4 linked regions of the Alligator mississippiensis genome follow. The protein of the gene in region 3 purifies or fractionates together with the protein of the main gene of each other region. This does not show direct contact. Links are inferred from orthologs where the notes say so. Each region holds a gene or a part of one and is shown on either strand. Other genes may lie near its edges. The genes, in order: RPP40, RPP25, POP4 and RPP38.

Region 1 (7,904 bases), on a different chromosome or scaffold from region 3:
TAACTAATACCCAATTAAAATTATAAGGGAAATCTGCACTGGCAGATCATGAATACCCAAATGGAAATGAGTTAGAACACAGAGGCCAATAGTCTTCCTTCCCTTTCTTTTTATGACAAATGCCATGGGTCTTACACATGTTCACCTTTTGCTATTCCCAATGGGGTCTCATCTCCCAAACTGGAACTTTTTACATCTCACTGTCCCCCATTCATCTGTAAAACCACTTAATGATTCTTACCTCAAAACTCTCTAAGGCAAGAAAACAAAGTAATAATAACTGAAATCTTGGAATCCTTACTTTTAAATGACCTAAAACATTACTCTCTAACTAGTGGCTCTCAAGATCATTCCTGATAGAAGTGTGCAGGGACAAAGTACTATAAAGGACAGAAAAATAAATGCTTTCAGGAAACAGTGTACCTTTACAAGCACTGGTCTCGGGGTGCTAGCCAAAAAGCTCTATTAATCTAACTGAAGTACAGAAGTCTCTTTTTCTCCCATCATAAAAAAAAAAAAACCCAAGGAAAAACAATTACACAAAAGCCAATGCACACTGACTTGCTGACTCTCCTCTCCTCTCCCTGTCCACTTTTCTTACTGTTTCTTTTACCAACCTCTTCCTCTGCATTATGACAGCTATACAAGTATATATATAAGTGAACAGAAAGAAAGGGAGATGACGGGACTGATACAGATTTCTACTCGAATACTTTTCTCTTTCTGCTTACAAATAACTTTCAGAACCAAGACTACCCCACACAGAAACTAACAAAAACATGTTTTATTATTAAAAGAACAGATGACACCTTTTTATTTGTTTGTCTTATTTGTTTTAAGCTCTCCTTTACCTGTCTTTACAAATGCACTGATAAATTCCTGTGCAACCAATTCATGAAGGGGTAAATTCTTCACCAGGTAGTACTCTCCCATATCTGTGGTAACACTTTTCAGAGGTTCTGGAAGCACGCCACATTCAGGAATCAAAAATGACACCTGTTAGGACCATATTTGTAATACACATTAGATGTTACACTCATACATAAGGAAAGGTCTAAAACAGGGCTGGAGGAGAAAGAGAGAGAAAACACAGAGTTCTTGTATCTGGGTGGTTCCCTAATGTGCCAAATTTTCAAAACCTCATTCAGCATATCATATGTAGCATTGCAACATGATTTGTGTGTCAGAAACTTTGAAACACTGCAACCTGCAGGCCAAAAATGGATTAAGCTTAGTTATAAATTACAGAAAGACTTTCCCTGAGGAACTGCATATTTCTTGAGGATGTTTCTCCAAAATGCTTATAAAACATTAAATGAAACAATATGCATACCAATCAATCCTGGAATCAGTGGAGAAAACATCAGTGGACATCCACTTTGCAACAGATAGCAAACATGGAAGCTGGGATAGCGTGTAGCACTACACAGAAGTAAAAACAGCTTTCTCAATTGGGGGAGGAGGGAAAACCGGAGTCGAGAAGCAGAAAATAAAGAAGATACCTGAATTTAAACTACAGAAATGTGCACTTTTCATATTGTGGGCAGTGTAATCAAGACTGATGCAGTGCACCCAAGCAAGGTTAGGCAAATCAACTGCAATATCTTGAACTTGTCATACTTGCTAGTGTTTAAAGAAAAAAAACTTCAAAGAAATAAAGCATCTGTGTTTTAATCTCCCATTTTATTATGTGAATGCCATATTCACAAGGCTACAGCAACCACCACAGGCATGGTTTCAATACTAACTCCACACAGTGACTTCAGAGTATATAAAGAATTATTGTGGTGATAATATGGACAACCTGTTGCTCCATTTCACACAGGAATTAACTCAAAACAGGTGGCAGCAGTGGTGATTTAATTCATGTCAGAGCAGGGACAAAACAACGTAAAAACCAAGTGACAGGCACATTACATCCAACAAATAAAAACAAGCTCTAACATAATTGCTCCAAACAGAATAAGAAAAAACATATAGAAATGCTTTAAGTCAATTATATCAGCAATAGTTTCCCATTAATTTCCTTGAGCCACTGGTATCACAGCCTAAGACTGGGAAAATCTTATTTCCTAGCTGGACAATCAAATTCAAAGTCTCGGCTGCTTTAAAGGAGCAATGACATTTTTGTCACCCACTTGCAGGTGCTTGCCCGCCAAGCAGTGCTAATGCTGTGCCGCCCCCTAAAACGGCCCCAGGGGCCCTGGCTGAGACTCTCTGTGCCCCTGCTGCCCTGTTACAACCGGGCAGGGAGGGCGATTGCTTTGCTCTGGGCTAGAAACCCTGTGCTGAGTTTGGGTTGGGTTTGGTTTTTTGGCTCGTCTCCCAGCTCTGCCGCAGGCTTGGACCTTGATGAGCCTCAGTCTTCCTACCTGTAAAATGGGGAGAGGGCCAAGTGCGCAAGCAAAAGCTCTGGGCAGGACAGCCCAGCCTGGGCATTAAGGGCACCCAGGAAGAGAGGGACAGGAACCCTTCCTGGGGTTTAATGACAACAATGCGTTGCTCTCCCTCAGCAAGAGCAGACAGGCAGTGTGAGCTGGTGACCACACAACCTTGTGCCTCAGTTTTCCCATCTGTAAAATGGGGAGAGGCTGGGTGAGCACCCAGCCCAAAGCTCAGGGCACTGTCTCATCCTGAGCATTAAGGGCATCCCTGCACCTAACCGGTGGGGGTCCCTCGGGTTTAATGTGTGATTGATCAATTAATTAATAGTTTAATTGCTCTCCCTAACGAGTCCCAGGCGAGCCGGGAGCGACGTCACGCCGCGAAGCCCCGCCCCCCGGGCGCACTCACGCGGCAGTTGTAGGCGTGGCCCCGCACGCGCGCCGCGTGGCGAGAGCGCTCGTGCCGCACGTGGCTCCTCTCGCAGACCAGCAGGTGCCGCGGGGTCTCGCGGAGCCTCCGCAGCGGCGCCGACATGCTGCAGCCAGCGCGGAACCCCCAGCCGGCAATCAGGAGCCGGGCCGAGCCGCGTCACCAAACCGGGGCTGGCGGAAGAAGCTCGTGAAGTCACTTCCGGCGGCTTTCCTCCGCCTCCCTGCAGCTACTTCCGGGGCCGGCTTTTGCAGGGTGGAAGGCGCCTGAGGGGTGTGCGCATGCTCAGTGCTGCCTGGGGAAGGTGTTGCCCTCAGTCTGCCTTCATCTCATGTTAAGAGGCAGAGGAGAAGCAGGAAGGGTGGAGTGCTGCTGCTTATGGTCAGCTGGTGACTGCCTGCTAGGAACCTCATGTAGAGGTTGTCCTGCACCGTTTAAACATTATTTGTGTGTTGTCCCCCTCCACACCGCTAAGTATTAGTTCCTCCTGGTTTGCAGAATTGTCAGGGGCAAACACTGAGGCATCATCATTTGGGCAAGAAAAGCTTCTACAATCTAATGGATTTGTCTAAATTAATTATTTTCCAAATCTTGGCTGTGAGCTTGGCCCCAAGCATTGTTTTTGTTACTGATGAGATTAGAAATCTCCTTTTAAGAAGAAGAAGAAAAAAAAGCTGTTTTTCATGTAATCACTAGACTCCAGGAGCTGGGGACTTGGAAAAAGGATGCAAGAGCTGTGATAAAACCACAAGCCTTGATGAAGCTGAGGAGATACTTTCAAATCCTCATCTGTCTCCAGGAGCTGAGGAAGTAAAACAAAATGTTCTCAAGTCGGAAGAAAATCACTAGAGAAGCTAGCAACACGGAAACTGCAGCCTGCTAAACAGTTAATTCATCACCTGTCCCACTCGAGAGTTAAGGCTATTTTGTGGGGGGTGGAATGAGATCTTCTATTGGACCAACTGCATGGTTGGAAGAGATTTTGGATGAGTGTTCAAACACAAGGTTTTGGGCAATGGAGAGTTAAACTTTTTAAAAATGTATGTATCATGGTACTTAAAGGAACTTTGTGTCATCAGTGTGAGGGAAAGAGAAGTTAATCTCCTAGCCAAATGCAAAACAGTGTCAGAAAAACGTGGGTGAGACTGGTGTACGAAGTGTAGAACTCCTTCCATGATCAATACCATGGTTAGGCCTAGTTTTTTGTTGCTTTGCCTATATGCTATGTTTACACTAGAACATTTTATTTACAGACAAACAATGTGAGTTCACTGTGGATAGATAATATTATCAAATAATTGATTTTGCATTTGCTGTAGTCCTTTCACACCATGCACATTATTAGTAGAAGTATTTCTAGCATGGTTCCTACACCATCACATGGGAAATTCCTCACCCTCATCACAAACACACACTCGCACTCAATGAGCACCGATAATGGTACAAGCTGTAGGAAATTCCATCATTTTCTTTCTCACACGCTTTGACAACATTACATCTCATAGGAAACCCCTAGGCACACTGGTAATCATCTCATCCACAGAAAGCTGTGTTGCTAATACATCCTACAAGATTCATTCATCGCTCTTAAATGTAGATACTTCTCTTTCTACATTGATAGTGGCAGGACATCAGTGTAGGATGTCAGCTGTTACCTTTCCTGCCAGTAAGTACAGTAATATAATATCCCCTAATCCAGCCACTTCAGGCAGGCACTAATAATGAATGAGCCATCCTTCATGTACTCTCATGCCTTGTATTCTAGACAGCAATTAAGAAATGGTAATTGACGTCTTCCACTCAAGATTCCTCCTATGAACCAGAAAAAATGACTGGAACAATTAGGAAGCATGTTTTCTCCTTGCTATTTCAGGAGCCCTGCTGAGAAGAGTCAGAATCCTGAGAGAGATGGTCCTTGGAAATATTGAGCAAATGAGGGATGTGTTGAAGCATGTAGACATCTTGACTGTGTGAAGCGAAAATGGATGTGTTAGGGCCCTGCTAGAGGTGTAAAGACTCAACCCACAAGATGTCAAACGTGCTGGAGGCAGTTTACCAACCTGCCCCTTTGGCAGACAACTCATAATCCTACACAGGAAATAAATATCTGGACCTTGGAAAACTGTGAAGTGTGTTGAGAACTTGTAAGACAGGCCAGTACATAGATTCTGCTCAGGTGTTATCACAATCTCGTGGGAATTTTTGGGACTCTTTGAGCTATCTATGAATTTGGGCTCATTGAGACTCTGTGAGTATTCCTCATATGCATCCAGTTTGACAGGATTTAAAAAATGTTGCATTTCTATTTTACTGGGCTTGCAAGATAGAAATGCTGAATCGTAAGTAGGCTTGAGCCTTGACATCAGTCTAAGCCATATCTGATGAGTTAGAGGCTTCATAGAGACCCTAGCCTTCACATTAGTCTGAGATAGTTACCCCACAAAGACGTAGTAGTATAGGAAGGCATGATTATGACTTTTCTAAGATTGTTTAAAGATGACGGATGTGTAAATTGCCTTTTCCTTTTCTACTTACTCTTCCTCCTTCCTTAGCCATCATCTCTTTGTTTTCTGTCATTCTGGTTGCTCTTTCAGCTTAGACTAGTACAAACTACCTGAAGTGACCATAATCACAGCTACCAAGTCAACTCATCTTCAAATGTCTCCCAGAGTTTTTCAATACATAAATAATAGAAGCTGTAAATGCTGAGTCTGAAAGAAGACAGGTTTTATAATAGTCCATCAACAATTGCTCCAGGAATAACCAAGAGCTTGTGTAAGATTGCTACCTTAGCAATGTTAGTATATCAAGTTAAAGTTAAGCCACAGTACTGTGAAGGTCATGGCACAGCATCTAACTTTTATTATCTCATGTCAGCACGTAGGACTATGTGAGAATGATTGCTTACTTCTCTAATTGGGTGGCTGCCAAGAAAAAAAGTCCTGTTGGTTGCTGCACTGTTTTTAAGAGACAGGATACAATTAGGTCATTTCCAAATGGATCTAAAGTGTCAGACCTCTGTTATTTCACTAGCTCACCTGATATATAGTTTGCTGGACTAATGTCAGAGCTCAAGTCTGACTTCATTAGCTCACTCACCAAGTGATAGCTTGAACTGATGTAAATATTTTGGGTTCCTGTAAATTGACTAGCTCAACACCTCCAGCTTGCTGGACTAAGGACGAACCGTGAGCTTCTGGGAGCTGACCATCTATACCACTGTAGTGTGCTGGGCTGGTATCCAGGCACAAAACTCGATTAGGATCAGCTCTCTCAATGGCTCTAGCCTGCTGGTATCATGCCATAGATGCCTGTATGACATCCCTGGCTCAGCACTTTTGGCTTCCTGGACTGATATCAAGCCACAAACATATTTTGGGTAACTATCACAGAAGTTATAGCTCTTGAACTGATGTGAAGTTTTGCATCTCTTTAGATATACCTTCAACTCATGTCAAGGCTCATGCCTCCCTAAGGTTAGTAGCTCAGCATTTTACCTTGCCAAATCGATATCAAAGCTGAGGCCTCTGCGACATATATGTTTGTGCTCCATTGGTACAGTCTGTAGCTATATTATGATCTAGGCCTTGGTCTCTGATATTGCTGGCTCACGCCTATACTCTACTTGCTGATTTATTTGAAGAGGCTGGTTAATATGTGTCCTAGAAGAACCATAGATTACTGGTTTGATAGTAGGTGCAAGGCCATTATGAATTCACTAGCTCAGTACTGGCTTGCTTGGCTGATTCTAAGACTGATCTCTGTAAAGTGTCTGGCTTTATGAGTACACCTTTCTGCGGTGATGCCAACCACCGTCTGCTTGGAGCTCATTGGTTCAGCACTTCCAGTTTGCTAGATTTTTGTTAAGGTATAGGGTTTGGAAGTCACTGGCTCAGTGACCTTTTTAAAGGGTAGTTTAAATTCTACAAATAAGCCAACTGCATGTGTAATTACAAGGCTCCTAATTTGAAAATAATGTACCTGTTACATTTCATTTCCCTCTGGCTGATATTCACATGGTCATTTATAAAATATAAAAATTAGATGATTAGTGTCAACTAAATAAAGTATGCAGCTGCAAGATTCAACTATCAGCATATAGATACAGCATTTGCAGACCTTCAGGCAAAGCTTGTGTCAACAGATGAGCTTTGCACCGTTATTTGAACATGAGTCGACTTACGCTCTGTCACAACAGTGAAAAGTGTTCATTCATTTGCAGTGCAGCTCTTATCTTGTGGAGGGGTAATAATGAGAGGATTAGTGCTTTCTGCTGTTGCTAAATTAAGTTCAATGAAAAATAAAAGTGTTGGGCAGGGTCTGGACAAACACCATTTGGAGCTGTGTATCTGGCAGAGCCTAGCTGGGTTTTTTTAGGGATGGTGATCAGAGCATATTTTACTCCATTTCAGTAGAGTCCTGTAATTTTCATTGCTATATTCTTAGACTGATGCAACTGCCAAGCTATCACTGTTATCCCTCACTCGCACATTGATTGTCACCAGATTCAGTGATGTGTATTAAAAAAAACCTTTGCAATGTATACAATAGTCTTTAAAATGTCAGAGTATTCATGTTTAAATATAAGCTGTCTCAGGGCATGGTAACTGTTGTAAATGTTGACTTCCTTACAGTGACTACTATATTTCTGTGTTTAGCTAGGTGTGAGGTTTCTAAGTATTGTGACATTGGGCATTTTAAACATGAAATCATTTGTATTTCTCAGACCCTGGAAATTCACCGCAGTCTCGGTAGCTGTCTCCACTCAAAATCTGGGTAATTAGGTAATACAACAGTTTGGTTTTTATGTGTTTGAAAAAAATTATAGGTTGTCATCAAGAAGTAGCATTTTGAGGCAGAGTGTAGTAATGGCTTGGAGTTGGGTAGGATTTGTGAAATGTTTCCTGGCACTGGTGAAGAACTGACTCTGTTTTCTATAAAGATGACAGGATTTGGAATGAAATTCCTAGTCTTCACATTATCTGGAAAAGTTTCTTGTCAGAAGGCAACAGCTTCTTCCATATATTTTTTTCAGCTTTGAAACCAGATCTGGTTTGTCAAAGCTGAGGTGCAATGTAAAGCACAAAATG
Region 2 (5,671 bases), on a different chromosome or scaffold from region 3:
GATCTGGCTGGCTAACTAACCAACAGCACAGCCAGACTAATTACTCACCTCACTGGGTGGCCAGGGCCCTCTGTTCTGCTCATACAGGGAGAAAATTGTGATTTATTGGAGACCTCAGTTACACCTCGTTTCTTGCCTGGCTCTGACAAGAACTTGGTCTTTCACTGCATTGGGCCCACCCTCCGCATGCAGGAGTGAATGATGCATCATACTGAAGCATTCAGATAGTTGAAGAAAGCAGCAGACCCCTAAATGTAATTATCATATGATGCCACATTACCCCTTGCCTCATCCCTTGCACCAACCTGCCAGGACCCTTCTCAGAGATGTAGAGAAGCATTTAATTGGATTTAAAAAAGCATTACAATATTTCAGGCACCTGAACCCCATTTATTTGAATGGCTATTAAGCCTACTAGATGCCTATTAACAATTTTGGGTGCCAAAATCCCTATGTGAATCTGGCCCTTGGTCCAAGGATTTTATGTTGAGATTGGAAGGAGGTTTTGATCTCAGCTTGAATGTTTTGTGAGGCCAAAATCTTCATCATTTGATGATGTCCGTGTTATATTTTATGAGCCATGAAGAGCAACCTTGCACTTTCAGTCCAAATGATTTTTATTGTCAATGGAAGGAAACAATAGGAGAAGAGAGAACAAACGTAAAGTCTCTGTGTCTTGCTGCATGTCACACTGCGGCCACAGAAACATGACATGGGAGCTGGATCACAGCTGCTCCTTCAGGGAGACTCCTCTTCACTTAACAACAGAGTTCCCTCCAAGAAGCGCTCAAGGAAATTTTCTGAGACAGGTGACTCATCTTCCCATCCAGGCAGAGCAGAAGCAGCCCTCTGGGCCTGCCAGCGCACCTGAACTAGAGTTGGCAAGAGTAGGCCTTTGTGATAAATAGTCTGTAATGTAGACAAGGCTTCTGAGGAGAGGACGTGGAGTGTGCACTGCGCAGTTGGGAGGGAGGAACCCTAGGAGCAGTTGGCCCTGGCCTAGCTGGAGTTATCCAGGTCTAGTCACCACGGCATCTTCTAGAGGAGATTCTGTGGAGAAGACTTTCCCTTGAAATGTTTCCCTAGATAGGCCCAGCAGCTATGAAGTCTTTAGAGCTGTTTCCCTCCCAGCCTCCCTCCCTCTCCAGCAGTCTCTCTCTCCTAAACAATCATCTATCTTTGTCTCTGGATGATTATAGATGAGGCGATAATTCACTCTGAACACTCAGGGAGGGTTAATTCGTTGAGGGGGGAGATTTACTGCCCTGCACCAGAGGGAAAGAGAAACAAGGGAAAGGCTCTGATGGAGTGACAGAGAAAAGGAGGAACGTGAAAGAGGAAAGATAAATGGGTAGAAAGTGAGTGAAAAGATGAATGCCCTGCATCCTCAGCTTGCATTTCACATTGAACTCACTCCATCCCCTGTTCGCAATGATCCAGGCTGGGACTGACAGCCCACACTGGAGTGGAGCATGGGGAGAAATTGGAAGAGGAGAACAAATTATATAGGAAAGAAGTAAAGAGGAGGGTAAAAGAAGAAAATGGAGGGAAAGTTAAAAGGGAGACAGAGGAGAAGGGGGTAGCTTGAAGGAAGAGGTAAAGGACAAGGGAAGGGCAAAGCAGCAAGGGGAAGTCTGTGGCCCAGCCTATCAGTCATATGGGTGCCAGTAGCTGCAGCCAGTGCTGGCGGGGGGCCTTGTGTCACCACCAATTGGATATTGATCCTCGCCTGCCTGGTGAAGCCACTGTTCTTCCTTCTTTATGACAGTTATTGAGTTCCTTTACTCCATCTTTTATGCAGCAGAGTGAGAACGCTCACCAGGCATCCAGCCCTGTGGCCTTAATTGCTAGTTGATGAGAAAGCCGCGATGACTGAATCATCACTGTCAGAGGCAGTGCCTGCCCATCTCCTTGTGTTCCTCTGCTCCTGGGATCACACATACTGCCCAGCTGATGGACTGGGATTGGGACCCAGTACCACCCTGTGCAGGGATGAGGCACCCCTCACCTAGAGTAAGGAGGGGATTCAGGCACCACCCTGTCTCAGCAGAGGAAGGGTAACCTGACCAGAAGGCTCCCCTGCCCCTCAGGAGCCCTTATCCAGTCACACATGGGTTCATTCCTCTCCTCTGGTACACTTCAGCCATCACATGGAAGCACTGTCTTCCCCTAGAGGGATAAGGACATGAGGGCAAGAAAGGTTTCTCCTCTGGTCTAATGCTAGACCCTACATCATGACCATTAGCCTCTCTCCTTCCCCCTCCCCTGAATGGGAGAAGAGTTCAATTTCCATGTTCATTCCTCTTCTCTTCACATTGCCTTAGTGTTTCTGAATGTCTAGGTTGCCACTAATGGGGTGAATGAGGCTTAGGGTGGGCCAGTCCCTCCCCTTCCAGTCCTGCTGCTGAAGAGGGGGCCTGGGAACCACAGAGGCCTTAAATGTGCTTGAGACTAACCTGAGATTTGAAGGCTGAGGCTCACAGGAGACTCCCCACTAGGGACTGAGGGATTCTCCTGCCCTCTAGTGGGAGTAGTGGTAGCAGTGGGCCTGTCTCCAGTCCTATAGACCAAAGGACTCTCTTCTTTCCCCTTAGGAGTGGTAGTAGAAGGCCTCCTCAGCTGCATTAAAGGCCACAGCAGAGGATGCCTCTCTCTCTCTCTCTGGGAAGGCAGGATGGCAGCAGGGGCACTCTGGCACTGTCTCCCGCTGCTGGGGTCCCTCTGCCTGGGCCTGGGCTGGGCTGCTGCCTTCTTTTCTTCCTGCCACACTTAGTCTGCTTGGCAGGGAGGAGTTCTCAGGGGCCCCAGAGCACCAGGTCTTGGCAAAGCTGAAGTGAGGCAATCTGGAGCTCTCAGCACATAGCAACATGTGGCTCCTCTCCAGCCACTCTGCCCTCACATATGCCCACCCCTCACTGTGTCTGGTGATGAAGGAGGAACTGCTTTTCCCAGACCCAGCGGGCTTTGAAGTGTGTGGGATCTAGGAGCTGGGTCCACTCAACAACAGGCCCAACACTTCCATCCAGAGAGGGTCCCGGGGTTCCCTGCACAAGGAGTCTCCCTAGTGACTCAGGAGAACAGGGGATCTACGAGTCTGGACACACTATATACCACCATCCTATATACTGGTTTTGTACTGATATAAATGATCCCAGGCTCTGGAGCAGACAGACGACCTGCTATCTCAGGGTAAGTGGTAACAGAAGTTGATGCTCTTACAGTTCCTGACCACTAGGTGGCAGGAGAACACGATTTGCCTTATATCAAGCAGCTACCCCAGGATTGCTCTGGACCCATAGTGTAACTTACCCCAGTGTCGTTTTAACTCTGATGTTTCCCCCAGGGTAATTCTACAAGGGCTTCAAGTCAGGCATTCCAGTGTAGGGCTGAACGCTGTGTGTCCGCTCCTTCCTGACACCCATGTACATGGGCTGATTGCACCCATGCAAATGGGCCATGTGTCCAAGCCCTGAAGGACACTACAATGAATACAACAATAAATCAGCCTGCACACATCAGCTTAATGAAGGGCCCTGCTCTGCCTGCAGGGAGCTTGGTCCCCTGGTGGGGATGCTCAGTGTCAGAGCTAACTCAGCCAGTCATGGAAAAGCAGGAGCAAGCAGCTGCCGGTACTTTGCTGACATTTGCATTTAGCAGTTAATGTCCTTGAGCTGGAGAAATCACCCAGGAGAAGGGGCCAGTTTCTCTTTAAGGGGGCAGGACTCTGGAAGCATCATGAAGAAAGAGTAGCTTTCCTTCTCCCCCACCTCCAGCCCCCCTTCCACTCCCCTCCCCCCCCCTTCCAGCTTCTCTTGGACTAGGGAAAAGTCAGACTCTCCTACCAGCCAGGGAAGTAGGGTTGGGGGGATGAAGCAGAGAGCTCTGTGCTGGGATGGGAGGCTGAGCAGGGGCGTGGGGTGAGGGAGGAGGAAAGCGGGGGAGGAGGAGAAGAGGGAGGATCTACTAATTACACAAAACAGCTCTGGGGGCTGCTGAAGTCCAGAATGAAGCACAGAGCAGCAGAAAGGAGTGCTGCAGTGGGAGCGGAGGAGCCCAGGCATTGCTAAGTGCAGGCACTGTGAGGGATTCCCACCCAGGGAGGATTCTGCAGCTCTGTCTCTTCTGGGGACTGACTGTCCAGCACAGCCACCACAGGGGACTGGTCAGGCTTCACCCAAAGTCCTTCTTCACCTGCCCAGCGAGAGGGGTGAGTAGCCAGTCGGCAGAAGTGGGATAATGGGGGAGCAGGACTAAACTTGCCCCTCTGCTTGCTGACCCACAGCTGAGGGAGTCTGGTACTTCCCCGGGAGCCTTTGCAATGGACATTGGGGTTTAGGTTCCTGACCTTGCTCATTTTCTCCCTGGGGAAGGATGGCTGCTGAAGGGGCAGAATCCAAGCCCATGCCTCCTGTCACCCAGTCCAGGATGGAGAACTTCAGGAAGGTGAAGACATCAGAGGAAGACAGCCCGCTGCCCTTTACTGGCCTGGCCCCTGATGTGGTGGAAATGAAGGTGAAGGAGGGCAGCAAGATCCGAAACTTGATGGGGTTTGCCATGTCCAGGATGGAGCTGAAGGGCACTCGGCAGATTGTCTTCAGTGGCTGTGGCCGGGCGGTCACCAAGACCATTACTTGTGTGGAGATCATGAAAAGGAAGCTGGGGGGTCTCCACCAGGTCACCAAGGTGCGCTACAAGACCCTGGTGGAAGTCTGGGAAAACAAGGACCCTCTGCCCAATGGCCAAGTGGAGACCCTGACTGTCCATAAGAATGTGCCCTCCATCTGCATCCTGCTCTCCAAGGACCCCCTGGATCCCAGTGAAATGGGCTACCAACCCCCAGAGCCCAGGGAAGGGCTCTGGCCAGAAGAGGAGGAGATAGAGGATGAGATATCCACTTCCTCCCCAAAGGGCATGAAGAGACCTTTGACATCTCCACAGGAGGAACTGAATAACAAGAAGTTGCAGGTACAGGTACCAGAGAGTCAAAAGGGCTCAGGGATGATGGACTACATGCTGGACTATCCTCACTGACTGCCCCACCTCCCACTCTGAGAAATAACCTAAGCCATACATAGTTTCTATAGAAATGAGATTCTATATTGAAGACACTCCAGATTTTTAGATGCTTTGTAATCAATAAAGGGACAATGAAGTCAGCAACTAGCTTGGTCATGAGTCCTGGTGGTCTTGGCTGTCCCCATGCTTACCTTCTTTCATAGACATGGGTAATCTTTCCCCCTTCCCTTCCCACACACACTCCTCTGCCTCTTTGGTAGTAGCAGGAGGAGGGCGAGCCATTTCCAAGCTGCAGGGAGTGTGGTGTGGACAGAGATACCCCTCCAATGGAAAGGCAGCAAGGTACAGGGGACAGCTCCTGGGCATATGGTTGCAGTGGGTTGGTGGTCATAATGGTGTGGGTACAACACCTTACACTGAGCTTCAGGTACCAGGTAAAGACTAAGTATCCTGCTCCAAGGAAAGTGCAAACTAAAAAGGAAAAAGGAGTATGATGGGGTATGCTCAAGGGGTGGGAAAGTAAAGGGGTGGCATGTGTGATTACTGATTGGAAAAGGTTAAACCTGCTAGCCACTGGATAAAGCCCAAGTGGCAGATTAACAGATGTGGAAATAGGGCAAGAGTCCCATATGGGAAGCCGGAGTGTGTGTGTGTG
Region 3 (6,884 bases):
TTTCAAATCCATCCCTTCCATGTTCATAAACAAACTCAACTTACGCCTCTGGTCTGAGTCCGTTGCACAGGTCCCGTATGTATTGTTTCCAGAGCTCGTGTAACGGAAGAAACAACTCATACCTATAGCATAACCAACAAAATGAGAGATTATACAAGAACTGCTTTTCATTAGTTAAAAAAACAACAGCTTGGACTACTAACGTGATCCATACTTGCAAATAAAGTTAAGACTTGTATTTGTTACGTTTCTTATTTGTTCCCATGACATTACTATGTTGTAAGTCAGCAGTACTTAAACTGCAGCTCTGTGGGCCAGATCCAGCCTGCAGAGTCATGCCATCCAACTCATGGGGCTCCCCACAATTCCACAGATTTGATGGGTGGGGGTGGGGGGAAGAGCAGTGACAATTTACACTGCCATTTTCCCCCTGCCTCCAAATTTACAAGCCCCACAGGCCAGATCATATGGGCCCCATGTGGGACAGTGGCCTCAATCCAATGCGTGCAGGGCCCGGGTGGCAGGCCAATCTGGCACACGCAGAGCAAGGGCCATGCATCGGATCTAGCCTACAGACCAACCCTGCATCATTCATCTGGCCCATAGGGCAGGAAATGTTGGAAACTACCGTCGTAAGTCATTCAAAATTGCAAGAATACTTACTCTAAGAAGACCAGCACTAATGTGCTGCCTCTGTATTTACTAGGGACACTGCTAACAGGCCTAACTGAGGAAGTTACTATGTTTGCCATGCTTAGAAGCACATACTTGTTTTTCCCCGTCAACTTAATTTCGTATCAACTACAACTGGGTTACAAAGAAAATGTATTTTAATAAAGCATGTGATGTAAAGTGTGACAGTTTATCTGGTCATAATTAACTATCAACTGTAGTTACTAGTCTCTGTGCAGTCATTTGAGCATGAACAGCACGGAACAACTAACTTCGCTAAATAGATTAATAACTTTATAAGCAAAGTGCTTAGCATCAGACATGCTGTTACCTGCACATTTTTATTGATAATTCAGTAAAGAAAACCTTTGAGATCTTACTTCTGTTGTTCTGGTTTAATTTCAAAGAGCTGCATTTCTCTTCTCTGCTTTGCAGAAAACCCCTTTGTTTTCTTTCTTTTCTCCTTCTTCTTTCTTCTCAGATAATGCCGAAGAACTACAGCTTTTCGAGTTAATTTATCCTGGATAGCTTCATCTTTCATTTTTGGCATACTACGCTTCAGAAAGGCTTTTACAAAAGCTTCAGCCTGCTTTGATCCTTGACGCTAAAAAACAAATTACTAGTCAAGAAAACCATATAATTGACTGGAGGTTTCATCAGAAGCCTACACCATTATAGTATTTAGAGACCTGCAGATGAATCATAGCACAAATGGAAATATTTTAAAAGGATAAACTCATTTGTATTCCAATTATACAAATATGCATCTCAAAGTAGATGAAGGGATTGACTCTAGAACTGAGATTACAATTTAGTTTACACAGCTATACATTTTTCATCTGAAGAGGCCAAAAGCATGCCAAATTAATGCCAACTGTAGCTGCCTTGTGCGTCAAGGAAGTCTATTCGCAGTAAGTTAGCTATGCAAAAATGGTTAACAATAGTTTGCATGCTAGCTTGCTTCAAGTTATTTGTGATAACTTTTCAGTTCAAATAAGTCACTGCTTACAGGTAACTTCATAGGTTTCTAACTTTAGACTCTCAATAGCCAAGAGTTCAAAGTTTATAGAAAAGTGTGAGGTACCCAGTGGCTAAGACGGAATTCTTAACATCCTGATATTCTTTATCATGAAGGAAGAAACATAGGTGTAAAAAACTGTTTGTACAAGAAAAGTGACTTGAGATTCCTCCCCCACCCCATGAAGTGCCACAGGTTTAATAAGTCTTTTCCCCAATACAAACCATACCCTCAACAAACCACATACAGCTGTTTCAAATTTAATATGCAAGTGCACAGCACTAATACAAGACAGTTTAATCCTTTTCCATGTTTCCTATAACACAAAATAAAGGGCAACACACTGCAATTTTGGCTCTGTTTTCAGTGCAAGCACTTTTCAAATATTTCAGGCATCACTATCATGCACACCTCAAAAAAAAGCCGGCAACATAACGCATAAATATTGCGGTCTTCCTTCCCCCAGTCCCTGTGATCCTACGCCAATGTAACTGCATCTCGAGGCAATCAACAGGGCCTCGTTACTGCAGTGACTTCTATGCTAGACTCCCTGCCCCTTGCCGAGGCTGCGGGAGGCGCAGGCATCTACCTGCACAAAACCCACTGCACAAAAGAAGAGCCTAGGAGAGGAAAGACTTCAAGTGGTGGCCAATAGTGGTACAGAAAGCCTCGGAAAGCTGCTTTAAATGTTGTCAGGATCTTGTTTAAATAAACCGCCGTCAAGCGAGCTCATCGGGGTTCTCCTTTTTGGACCGTTGACTCAGGGCTCTGCGAGGATGGCTGCGGCCTTGCCCGCCCCAAAGTGGTGGAAGTTCCTTGGTGCGGCCACGGCGCTCCGACGACCGCTGGATTCAAACAGGGGCCAAACGAACGAGCCCCCGGGGAGATGGAGACCCGCCTGTCAGCCAACGCACGGCCCGGGCGGACACGACGATGTCACGTTATGCAATCGCTGTCGGCAATGACACGAAGGAACGACAGCAGCGCTGAGGGCGGGACGTACCTGGATGCCCAGGTGCTGGGTGGCCAGCACAGGCAGTTTGCTGTAGATCATCTCTGTAACACACGAAGGCACAAGGCTCTGGGTTTTCACGAGCACTGCTTACTGCAGCCCCTTACCTCCCCCTCCCCTTGTCCCTTTTCCCCTCCCTCGCCCGGCTCCGAGGGGAGCGGCTCCTCCCAGTCAATTCCGTGAGAAGGGCCCCAAGCCCCCGCGCGCTCACTCTCCATCCCGACGGCACCCCAGCACTTCCGGCTCGCTCTGATGAAGTCAAAGCGCAGCAACGCGGTGACGAACGGGGCGGGGGAGGGAGAGGCGCAGGCGCAGTTGCCCGTTAGGAGATCGCCTCCATGCGCGTGCGCAAAAGGGAAAAAAAAAAAAAGACGGAGGGGTAACTGACGCATGTGCAGTACCATCCCCAGGGAAGGCGAGGCGCATGCGCTCAGCGGTGGGGGCAGGGAATGTTGGCGTCGGAACTCGGGCGGTGTTGGGTCACTGTTGGGCGCATGCGCAGGCGTGGCGAAGTTCTCGCGTTCGCCTCCACGTGCTGATCCTGGTCCCAGTCCGGGGCTGCGCATGCGCCCGTCCAGCCCCCGTCCGCCCCGGCCCAGATCATTTGAAGCAGGACTACCCCCCCTCACGCACACACACACACACACACACACACACACTTCCATGCAGCAGGACCCCCAGGAGCCTCACTAGCCCTTGGAGAGCTCAGACCCATGAGGCCAGAGTGGGGTCCCTGGGAGCTGTCCAGGCTGCAGGCTGGGGTCACCCATAGACCCCCACGTGTCCCGCGGGAATCCACGGCGTTGAGAGCACTCCGGCCCCATGGGCTGTGGCCATTCTTCCCAGCGGGCGAGCAGCTCGTTTTGTGTGGCCAAAACACGAGTGAAAACCAAGAGCTGGCATTGTCCCAGGGGACCCCTGTCCGGGGGAGCCTGGAGCTTAAAAGGCTGGTGATCGGTGCCCTAGAGCAGTGGTTTTCAACATTTTTTCATTCGTGGACCCTTAAAAAGTTTGGCATGGAGGTGTGTTCCTGTTTGGGTATTCACATGCTTCTGACTGAGCGTAGTCATCTTACACCGACCCCTTAGACATGGTCTGCGGGCCCAAGGGTGCATGGACCACAGGTTGCAAACCAGTCTTAGAGGGACCCAACGTTTGTGACATTTGAAGAGGCTGACAGATGTAGATACCTCCAGTCACAACCTCTGTGTAGGTATGTGTTGTGAGGCAGATTGCTTAAGAGGATTTGGGGCCTTGCAGCACCAGCTTTCTGCCTGTCCTCAAGTCCCTAAGTATCGCTGGCCCATTTGCCCTGTGTTCTGCCCCCGTGTCTCTCAGGGCAGCTGCGCTGGCTCCTGCCTCATCTCTGCTCCTCTCCCTTTCGTCCCCATCTTCTGTGCCAAGCTGGGGGCCCCGCTGCCCCACCTTCAGCTCCAGGAACTCTTCAGGGTGGGGGCAGCAAGATGAGCAACTTGAGCTGCTTTCTGCTTCCCTTGTCTGCTCTTTTCAGTACGGCCGTGCGAGGCTTCAGACAAAGCTTCAGATCCGGAGAAGCTTCGGATGCTTCGGGGTCCGAAGCAGCATGTCTGGGTCAAAGCGCTGGCCTCATTCGGCTTCCCAAAGCGCTTTGGTGCCACCTCGGAGATCTGGCCATCGGGTGTAATGGGGAAACAATAAAATATTGATAACTTTATTGTTTTTAGTCTGGTTTGGATGAAATCTTCAGGGGTGCTAGACTCTGTAGAGAGGATGAAGCCTACCAAGTTTCAAGAAGATCAGTGCAGGGGTTTGGGGGGAACTGTACCCCAAATTCTTGAAAGCAAAACTCATGTCACATCTAGGCGTTACACTATAGTGGGGTAGTAGTTCTTATTGAGGCCACAAAGCCTGCCAGGTTTGAGAAGATCATTGTGGGGGCTTGGGACAACTGTACCCCAAATTGTTGAAAGCAAAACTCCTGTCACTTCTATGTATTACAACACAGGGAGGTCAAAACTGCAGGGGTGGTAGGTCTTAGTGAGGCCACAAAGCCTGACAAGTTTCAAGAAGATTGGACGTTGGGGGGAACTGCCCCTCAAGCTGCGGACAAGCAAAACTGGTGCCATGGGTGCTTGTGGGACTGACTGTGACTGTGTTGGGGTGGGGAGGGGGGAGACTGCTGCAGGCCTGGCTGCTAAGCTGCTGTGTTCCCAGTTACCAATCAATCAACCATGATTCACTCAGGGACCAGCTCAGTACACAGGACCTAGCTACTACATAAAGACTTAACGAGCCTCAGTTAGCACCTACAAAACCAGGCTAAGGGAAGGAAAGTCTCAATACAGACCAACAACTGCCCCAAGACAGACACAGTTTTGGCGCAGTTTTTTTTGCCTGTCAGCAGCTAGGGGTGCAGGGCCCCAGAACCCCCTGCACCAATCTCCTCCACAGCTGGCAGGCGTCACAGCAGGGGCCACCATCCCTGCAGATGTCACCCCGCTGTGCCTTAACACACGCAGTGTCACCCATGGCATGAGTTTTGCTTGTCTGCAGCTTGAGGGGCAGTTCCTGCCAAACCCCTGCACCTGTCTCCTAGAAACGTGGCAGGCTTTGTGGCCTCAGTAAGAGCTACCAGCCCTGCAGTTTCACCCCACTGTGGTGTAACACACAGCTGTGACAGGAGTTTGGCTTTCAAGAATTTGGGGTACAGTTCCCTCAAACCCCTTCACCGATATTCTTGAAACTTGGCAGGTTTCATGCTCTCAGCAGAGGCTACCCTCCCTGCAAGTTTCATCCAAGTCAGACATGAAATAATAAAGTTATAGCTATTTCGTTGATTCCCCATTATACCCTATGGCCGGATCTCCGAGGCGGCTCCGAAGCTCCGGATCGGATCGCTGCCATCTGAAGTGGCCGGATCCGAAGCCAGATTGGATCACTGCCAACTCGCACAGGCCTACTCTTCAGCTCAAAACATGCGCCTCTCAGTTACAGCTTTGCAGGTTTTGGGGAACAGCAGTGCTGTAAGCTCTCATAGTTCTTTTGGATTTCAGTGTTTTCATAGTTTCACAGTAGCTAGGGCCAGGAAGGACCTGAACAGATCATCTAGCCTGACCCCCTGCCACAGGCAGGAATGAATGCTGGGTTCACAAGACCCCAGACAGGTGATCGTCCAACCTCCTCTTGAATTTGCCCAAGGTAGGGGCCAGGACCACTTCCCTGGGAAGTTGGTTCCAGATTTTGGCCACCGTTAACTATAAAATATTGCCTTCTGATCTCTAACTTAAACCTATTCTCCATGAGCTGATTACTATTGTTCCTTGTTACCTCAGAACAATAGTAATCAGCTGATGGAGATGGAACAACAGGTGGTGCTGGGGAGAAAAGGGCTCTGCCTATTTGCTGTTGATCTCCCCTGATGAGCTTGTAGGCAGCCACTAGGTCCCCCTCAGCCTCCTCTTGCTAAGGCTGAACAGGTTCAGGTCCCTCAGTCTCTCCTCATAGGGCCTGTCCTGCTGCCCTCTCACCAAGTGGGTGGCCCTTCTCTGAACCCTCTCCAGGCTGGCCACATCCCTTTTGAAGTGCAGCGCCCAGTACTGGATGCAGTACTCCAATTGCGACCTGACCAAAGTCGCATAGAGGGGGAGTATTACCTCTCTGGACTGGCTTGAGATGCACCTTTGGATGCAAGACAAGGTATGGCTGGCCTTGCTGGCTGCAGTCTGGCATTGGCGGCTTATGTTCATCTTGGAGTCAGTAATGACTCCAAGATCCCGTTTTGCCTCTGTGCTTTCAAGAAGGGAGCCCCCCAGTCTGTATGCATGCTGTGGATTCCTTCTCCCAAGGTGCAGCACCCTGCATTTGTCTACATTGAACCCCATCCTAGTCTCGTCTGCCCACTTTTGTAGTCTGTCTAAATCTAGTTGCAGCCTCTCTCTCCCTTCAAGTGTGTCCACCTCGCCCCACATCCACATCCTCATCCAAGTTTCTGATGAAGATGTTAAACAGCGAGGGCCCAAGGACCGAGCCCTGGGGTATCCCACTGCTCACATCTAACCAGGCTGAGTACAACCCGTCCACCACTACTCTCTGGGTGCGCCCCATCAGCTAGTTTTTTACCCATACAACTGTGTAGGCATCAATGCCACAGTCACTTAATTTATTGATGAGGATGGGGTATCAAAGGCCTTCTTAAAGTCTAGA
Region 4 (7,638 bases), on a different chromosome or scaffold from region 3:
GTCTGTAGTATAAAGTGCACATCTTCTCCCTCTAGAGTACGCCATGTGATAACATATGGGTTATTTAAAGAAGTTTTCACAGAAATTTTCTTTGTTTTACGGACTGATCCACCCCCTGCCTTCACTATAGGCATCTTGATACTGGTTTGTGTTTTAGCAGCTCAGCTGTGGATGAAAGAAGAGATAACTTATTAGCAAATGGTCCACAAGAAGGACCCCCTTACTTTCTTAGCTTAAAACAAAGTTAAACTTAAGAGGCATATGTATGTAACATTGGCCTTTACAAAATACTTGGCTATGCAGTGTCTACCTTATTCATTTTCAACAGGTTAACACTTGCACCCAAGTGACTCACCTGAAAGTGAACAAAAACAACTGGAAACACTACAGACAGGGCCATCCCTGGAGGGCGGGGAAGGGGGTGCGAATCAGGGCAACTGCCCCAGGCCCCGTGGCCAGTGCCATACAGGCCCCGCTTCATGCCACCAGCTCCACACTTTGGCCACTTGCACCCCTTCTCCCCCCCTGGTCCCACACACCCCTAGGCACAGCTCTGACTATTCTCTTAATCTGTAATGGTCATAAAACTAAATTAGAATGTGTAGGAAATGCTAAATTTTGACTCTTGTATTGTGACAGCAAGGGTATGCCAACAGTAAACAAAGGTGTAATTGTAGCATGCGCAGGCATACCCACACTAGTAAACTGACACACACAATATTAACAATGAAGATGCGTGTAACCTGCTCTGAAGTCTGGTATAAAAAGTCTGCTGGAGACCCAAACTGAATACCTGCTCAGAAGTTAGTGATGATGTCCAAGTTACCCTGTTATTCCTAGCTATCCAATTCAAGTCCTAATAACTTCATCTGAAAGTAAATATACTCCCACAGGTCAAGAGGGTTGGACCATGGTCTTCTATAAGAATCCACAATTACTGAAGAGCAAGTCTCCCTCCATGGAGAAGGCCAGATACAGATCTTAAATCGCACTTCAAAGGACCAAGTATCATTAGTTTATGCATGCTCTCTCAAAATTATCATTTCATGAGTCATTACAGTCCTGCATTCACTGACGAAAAGGTTGGTTTTTCACATAGGTTTGGAGTGTTGTAGCCATGATAGTACAAGAATATATGAACAGCAAAAAAACCCTTGCTTCTCCTTGGTTGTTCATTCAAGGTAACTTAACTTGACTGGAAACCCCATCTGACAGTTATGCCTGCACACTCCTGATCCCTGGAACTGCACATCTTCTAGCCTTACCTCCTATTTAATGCCACAACACAATCTACTCACACAGCTGGAAAGTGCCCTCTCTAAATTAAGGTTTTATTTATATCAGGGGAACTGTGTCCAAGATCCAGCCCACAAGCCAGATCCAACCAGTGGGTCTTGGACCAAACCCTTGGCACCACATGGAGCATGTGCTGGCCCCAGCCCCACCTACTGCATGAAACACAGCCGTGTCATCAGGACTCTGCGATGTAGACAAGGCCCATGCCACTTCTACACAGACGCATGAGAATGGGGGTGAACATTTCAACAGAGAAACCACAATTATCTTTTTTGCTAGTCTACATGGGGCTGACACTTTTCTGGGAAATCAATCCTCACCAGTTGCTTACAATACAAATTAAAAAATGGTTAACAGCAGTCATGTATATTGTTCAAAACATCTACCTGTATGCAAAGACCTTTGAAAAATATGTAATGTGGGGTTATTATTGCAATGATGAGTGGCCAGAGAATGTGACAGGTGGCCGCACCACCCCAAAAACAGGAGGGGCCAAAGGGGAGAAAGCCTCTCCTGCTGAAGAGGCTGTGTGCATGCACCTGGGGTAGAGTCAGGAGGAAATGCCATTTTGAAGGCTGTGAATGAGACAACCCAGTGATGTGCTGGGCAGAGACGGGGAAGAAAGCATTAGCGGAGGGACACACAAAAAGCAGGGGGTCACCAATGAGCTCTGCCTTTAATGACCTGCTGCTTTGTGCGCCTCTGCGGCTTCCCTCCCCGCTCCTGTCCCGCACCCAGCCGGGCCCCGCGCTCCAGGCCTGCAAGCCGGCACCTTCGCGCCCCCCCGCCCTCGTTCCCCTGCCGGCTCCGCCCCAGGCGCGCTCCCGCGGAGGCCGCGACCCGCCTCGCAGAAGTGACGGGGCGGCGCCAAGAGGCCCTTACCCTGGGCCGGGCGCTGCAGGCGGCTCCTCCCGCCGCGCTCCGGGCCTGGCGCCACGCCGGGAGAGGAGGGACGACGGCCGCTCCGCACAGGGCACTGCTGCCCGCTGCTGACTTGAGGCCCTTCCACCGTGACCCCGGAACCGGAACCGGAACCCCAGACGTCCACGCGCATCTTCCTGCCGCAGTGCTACGTCAACAAGGTTACGTCGCTTCCTCCCCGTTCCGGATCTTCACGCGCATGTGCGTCTTAGCCCGGCGGAGGGGAAGGAGCGCTGGCTGCGTACTTTTGCGCGTGCGCCCTGCAGGCCCCGGCTCGGCCGGGGGTGGCGCTGCAGGCTCCTCAGCCCGACGCCGGGGCTGGGCCACTCCCAGCGTCGGGGGCGCAGCGCGGGCTTGGGCTCGTCTCACACCTGCCCCGCGCCCGGCAGGGCTTGCTCCTCAGGCTGGGTGCGGCCCTGCGCGCCGAACACCCCGCATGCCTGAGCGGGGTGGGGGTCTTCTGCGGGGCTGGGCCCGGCCGGGCTGGCAGTGTCGCGGGCGTCAGGATTGTTTTCAGCAAAAGGCTCCATCTGTGTTTTCTGTCCTAACAGTTTCCCTTGTGCGCACTAATATTTCTCTCCTCCTTTGTCTCTTAGTTTGGGGTTGCGGGGGTTGGGCGAAATAGCCAAGCATGCTGGATTTTTTCATGCAAGAGTCTGCTCATGCTCTTCAGGCTGATCTCCAGTCGGCTGTTGCACGTTTCTGCCCCCTGAGGAGCTTCTCAGAAACCCCGGTTGATCTGGTTAGGTGGTGGCCCCGCCCACCCCTCGGCTCCTCCTCTGGCTCCTTTGCTGCACTGCACATGCTGCGAGTCCCCTCTGCAGTAGCCTGGGAGCCTGCCGCTCTGAGCTGGGCTCCGAGCATGTCGCCGCCTCGCCTCGCCCCGCGCAACCGCTAGGGGCTGCCGTAGGTTCCATGCGCGAGCGGCAGGCATGTGGGCCTGTACTTGGGAGCAAAGGGTATCTGCCACACCCCAGAGAAGTAACTCAGAAAGGTCTGTCAGTTTCAATTTATAAAGCGCTTTGCAAAACAAGAAGAGAGAAATCAATGCACCACATTTCCAACATTTTTTATTCAAAACCGAAGACATTGCTGATGATAGTGCCATTGCTGCTGAAGCAGCTTATGTGTACCATGCAGTTGTATGTTATCACAGCTACTTGTTGCCTGACTGGGATGAAGCTGACCGACAAACGTATTTCTAATTCCAACTTGAATAAAAAAATCACTGCAGAAGAACAAAGTCTGGACGTTTTATGTAAAGTGTTTGGATACCTTATTCAATCACATTGCATTTGGGTAATTTTCAAGACAATCGTTTTTTACAGGTATGACCCTTCAAATGAAGGCAAAATTAAATATTACCTATTGGTTGTGTGGTATTTTTCACTGTTCAACAGTGTTAGTTTCCTTGATTAAACAGCTGATGCCCATAAGCAACTGGATTTATACAGTTCTGAATTAAATTAAAAATGGAAACATTGGAAAATGAGAAATTTAGCATCCTTTTGAAATACTAGCGACTAAATTTCAATGGGAAGAAAAGCCACACTTTAATATGGGACTTTATCACTAACCAAGAATGTGAGCTGGCATGTGACAAAGGCCTCTTTTTTCCTGAATCTACTTGTACTTTGCACAAAGCTACATGAATGTTTCTCACATGGTAATCAAAATGTTTGAAAGTCATGCAACTAGCCAACAGGTATGTATGGAGTAGTGAAAAATCTGAGCTCCAATCTGTAGAAGAAGCTCTGAGACTGCATCTTTGGTTTCATAGTGAACCAGAGCTTAAAGAAGTTGCCTACATTCTTCAGACTGCATTTAAATTAAATGAACTGAAGGTGTGAAGAATAGCATCCATTACTTGGGCCATGCCTGTACCACCTGAAGACTGCCTCAGAAGGTGGTGCAATCCAGCCTCTTATTCCCATTTCCACACTGCCCTTGTCATGGATGGATCAAAGCCCACTCGCACACAAAGGTGGTAATATTGCATCCATTCTTGATTACAATGCAGAAAGCAAAGGGGTGGTTTTCTTTCCTGCAGTGAGTGTTCTCTTGCACACAAGCAACCAGAGCATGTCCTTGATGCAAGGCCTTTGAAACACTTATCAGTTCTTAGTTTTCATATTTGGTTTGTATTTGAGGAGCTGATGCACTTTGTTAAAACTTCAGTATAGCAGTACTGAATGGAGGAGCATTGTACAATGAATAAGGGGTCTACTGAATACAAGGAGGCGGCTGGCTGGTTTCACAGGCAGATCCCAGGGCCGGTTACCATTTTCATGGGCTGAGTGCAACAGCCCCACACATGCCTCTGATTTGGAGATTGCACCAAACTGCTGATTAGATTGCTTAATAATGCATCAATTAATGGCTTTCTCAGGCTTAATCGGGATTAAACCCACAGAAGCCATTAATTGACATGTTATTAAGCAATCTAACCACTTAAACTCTAAAATTAATTATATTAATTAAACTCTAAAATGAATTATCATAAAGCTGTGCACACCATAAATTGTAACCAGTGCCATCTAAGCACTTAATTAAACTCCAAACTGAAGTATCTTATATAAATAAAGCTATACACAACATGAATTGCAACTAATACAACTGTCAGAACCTAGTAACTGAATGCCTCTGGCACAGTGGAAAGTCCCGGCGCAAGAAAATCCCCACCAAGTCCAACGGTCACCCCCATTTGTGTTTCAACAGCCCGTATAATTGGCTAGCCCCTGCACACTGCCCATTGGCCGGTTACCAAATTATACCCACTTGGTAAATAGTGATTGGCTTGTTAACCATATAAAGGTAAAAGCAGTTTCTGCCCTTGTTGGAGAACTCCACATGCATCCTGGAGTAAACTTGGCAGACTGATCACCCACCAACGACTCTCCGTCACCGATCCTCCCGACGTACCCCCTCCCTGTGCACTCGATAAGCCGTTTATGGAACGTCTCGTCTCGTTTTAAAGAGCTCTCGCTACGTTTGTAACTGCAACTTGAATCAATTTTCTTCCTGCACTGCACGCATCAGTGGCGTAAGTAAACAATCTATTTTCTACCAATACGCTTCTGTGCCTGATTCCACTCCACTCGCCAAGTACCCACCTGCCGTGCCGGGCTACTGGCCATAGCCCAGCAAGCGAGTTGGCAACGACAACAACCATATACACTTTATCAAAGGACATAAAAAGGAGTTTACTGAAACTGATGTTAACCTTGAGACAGACAATTCATGCTAACTATTAAATGCGAGCATGCTGCATCCAACCACAGTTGCTGCAGACATTCTCTGTCTCTGCGGGGTGAACACTTGTCCATACATTGAGATAGCAAGCTCAGCATCTACTGAGTTCATTGGAATGGTGAGGAAGCAACTTGTCAGGATGTACAGATGTGGAAACTGGTCAGAGTCCCCGAACACAGGCACAGGCATCTGGCACTCTTTGACAAAGTTCATGTAAGCAACACTTTCATTGTCATGTTCTTTCCCCCATCCCAGGATTGCTTTCAGTAGCTGAGGATCACAACTCAGAAAAGGCAACTGGTTGGGGTTCAAAATGTGAACAGCACTAAGGAAGGGGGCAGCCAGTTGTCTGAACTGCAGTTGTACCACAGGGACAGATGGGTCATTCCTGTAGTGCTGGTTCAGCTTCACAACTGTTGTCTGGAACAGGTCTCCTCTCCAGTGGTTTTCATGAGGACAGTTTGGCAGTTCTTGCAATACCATGTTTTCAGTCCAGCTTATCAAATCCAGCCCCTTGTTGTGTGTGTGGTGGATCACAGCTGGCTGGCCTTCAAACAAGGCAGGAGGTCCATGAACCTAGTGCCATTGTCAGCCACAAACATCACTTGATATTGAATGTCACCTCACCCTAAGATATCATGAAGTTTAAGCATGCACTCTTTGCTGGGTATGATTTTCAGCTCCTCGTCCACAAACGGTTGATAGTGCTAGATATGCTTGGCGTGGTAATGGACTGTGTTGAACCATGAATCCCATCTTGTGAGCACAGGCTCTGGTGGCAGTGGCACAGTGCCATGTGAGCCCCCAGTTTGACTAGCAACAGACTTGGACAGTGTCTGAAGGCTTTCTTGAAAGAGGGCACCAGGCTAGCCACATCAGGGAACTGCATGCGCCGTATGTCACTTACTGAGGACAGAATGTGAACGTTGCAGGTGACATGAACAGCATTGGGCAACATTCCTTGGAGCACGTCGGAGAAAGCTTTGCACGTGTACATGGCAGTGTCAGACAAGAATGCTGAAATCTTGTTAAAGTCTATGTCATAGCTGACAATTACCATCACAATGGCTTGAGACACAGTAGAAAAATGGACAGATGTGAGCTGGACCAGCTCAGTTTGAAACAGGCAGGTACTGGTCTGTCCAGCTCCCGAGTACAAATAAAATAAGCAGCACCTAGTTATCTTGAGGGTTGTTGTGCTTCATCATCCACAATGGATAAGGAGTCATACTCTGCAAAGGCAGACTTTTTTAACTGTACATGCAAAGCACTCACTGCAGGCAGATAGTCTTTTTGAAGCTTGTTGGTATGTGGAAAGCTGCCAGCATCTGGCACATTTTGATTCAGGTAGTACCTTAAGTTTGAGCGATCAAGTTTCTCTAGTAGGATGTTCGCCATTGCGAAAACCTCCACAAAGGAAAATCCCACCTCTTGCCTTGCCAAGCTGCTTTCTGTGGTCATTTTAAAGAGGGAGGACATGGTTCCTTGTTTCTTGCTCTGACCTTCAGCCTCTGCAACAGCCTTCTGCTTCATGTATGCCTTGAACTCTTAAGTTTTGATATACATTGGGTTTCCTCAACACATTCAGAGTTACGTTGTCGGTGGCACAGAAGAGTGCCTCCATCTATGCGCAAGATCCCTTCAGGATACAATCTTATATCGTCTAGCGTTGAAACATATTTGGGTGCCTTGGAGGATTTCTTCGAAGTCATCATCCTTGCTTCTCCTCAGGCTGCAACATGCTGTAACAGCATGCCTGCGGATACTTTAAAACCTGGTTCCCAAATCCTCCCATTTGCCTTTCTGGCTCTGAACTGGCTCCTGGACTGAGCCTATATCACTGGCTCAGCCTCTGATTTGCTCTCTCTCCCTCCTCCCAATTCCCCATGTACTTCAGCACTCCAGGGCTTCCCTTTTCTCTTCTTCCAGCTTTTTTTTTTCTCAGCGAGACTGCTTTTTTGTGGAGCCCAACCAAAATTGCAGTTTCTGCAAATATCTAAAAATGAATGATAAGTAACAGAAAATTAGGTTTGAAGGGAGTTTAGGAGGTCATCTAGTCCAACCCCCTGTTCAAAGCAGGACCATTCCCAACTACATCATCCCAGCCAAGGTTTTGTCTAGCCAGCTCTATAAAAACCTCCAGGGAAGGAGATTTCACAACTTTTCTGT

What was found.
Region 1: the proteins of POP4 (region 3) and RPP40 purify together in Homo sapiens (affinity purification with mass spectrometry; 3 studies listed by BioGRID and IntAct, counting the BioPlex papers as one, with this or other methods). This does not show direct contact. The link is inferred for Alligator mississippiensis from reciprocal best matches to the Homo sapiens genes POP4 and RPP40.
Region 2: the proteins of POP4 (region 3) and RPP25 purify together in Homo sapiens (affinity purification with mass spectrometry; 3 studies listed by BioGRID and IntAct, counting the BioPlex papers as one, with this or other methods). This does not show direct contact. The link is inferred for Alligator mississippiensis from reciprocal best matches to the Homo sapiens genes POP4 and RPP25.
Region 4: the proteins of POP4 (region 3) and RPP38 purify together in Homo sapiens (affinity purification with mass spectrometry; 4 studies listed by BioGRID and IntAct, counting the BioPlex papers as one, with this or other methods). This does not show direct contact. The link is inferred for Alligator mississippiensis from reciprocal best matches to the Homo sapiens genes POP4 and RPP38.

The regions. Positions count from the first base shown.
Region 1 is NC_081826.1:122,607,787-122,615,690, forward strand, and holds the start of RPP40 (ribonuclease P protein subunit p40), read right to left. Parts: upstream 3,008-7,904; 5' UTR 2,920-3,007; coding exon 2,794-2,919; intron 997-2,793; coding exon 852-996; intron 1-851. UniProt on the Homo sapiens protein: Component of ribonuclease P, a ribonucleoprotein complex that generates mature tRNA molecules by cleaving their 5'-ends. Also a component of the MRP ribonuclease complex, which cleaves pre-rRNA sequences.
Region 2 is NC_081834.1:27,514,656-27,520,326, reverse strand, and holds RPP25 (ribonuclease P protein subunit p25), read left to right. Parts: upstream 1-3,837; 5' UTR 3,838-4,207; intron 4,208-4,370; 5' UTR 4,371-4,371; coding exon 4,372-5,031; 3' UTR 5,032-5,163; downstream 5,164-5,671. UniProt on the Homo sapiens protein: Component of ribonuclease P, a ribonucleoprotein complex that generates mature tRNA molecules by cleaving their 5'-ends. Also a component of the MRP ribonuclease complex, which cleaves pre-rRNA sequences.
Region 3 is NC_081833.1:57,323,613-57,330,496, reverse strand, and holds the start of POP4 (ribonuclease P protein subunit p29), read right to left. Parts: upstream 3,017-6,884; 5' UTR 2,921-3,016; coding exon 2,914-2,920; intron 2,747-2,913; coding exon 2,694-2,746; intron 1,277-2,693; coding exon 1,053-1,276; intron 123-1,052; coding exon 45-122; intron 1-44. UniProt on the Homo sapiens protein: Component of ribonuclease P, a ribonucleoprotein complex that generates mature tRNA molecules by cleaving their 5'-ends.
Region 4 is NC_081828.1:179,774,094-179,781,731, reverse strand, and holds the start of RPP38 (ribonuclease P protein subunit p38), read right to left. Parts: upstream 3,010-7,638; 5' UTR 2,179-3,009; intron 166-2,178; 5' UTR 135-165; coding exon 1-134. UniProt on the Homo sapiens protein: Component of ribonuclease P, a ribonucleoprotein complex that generates mature tRNA molecules by cleaving their 5'-ends. Also a component of the MRP ribonuclease complex, which cleaves pre-rRNA sequences.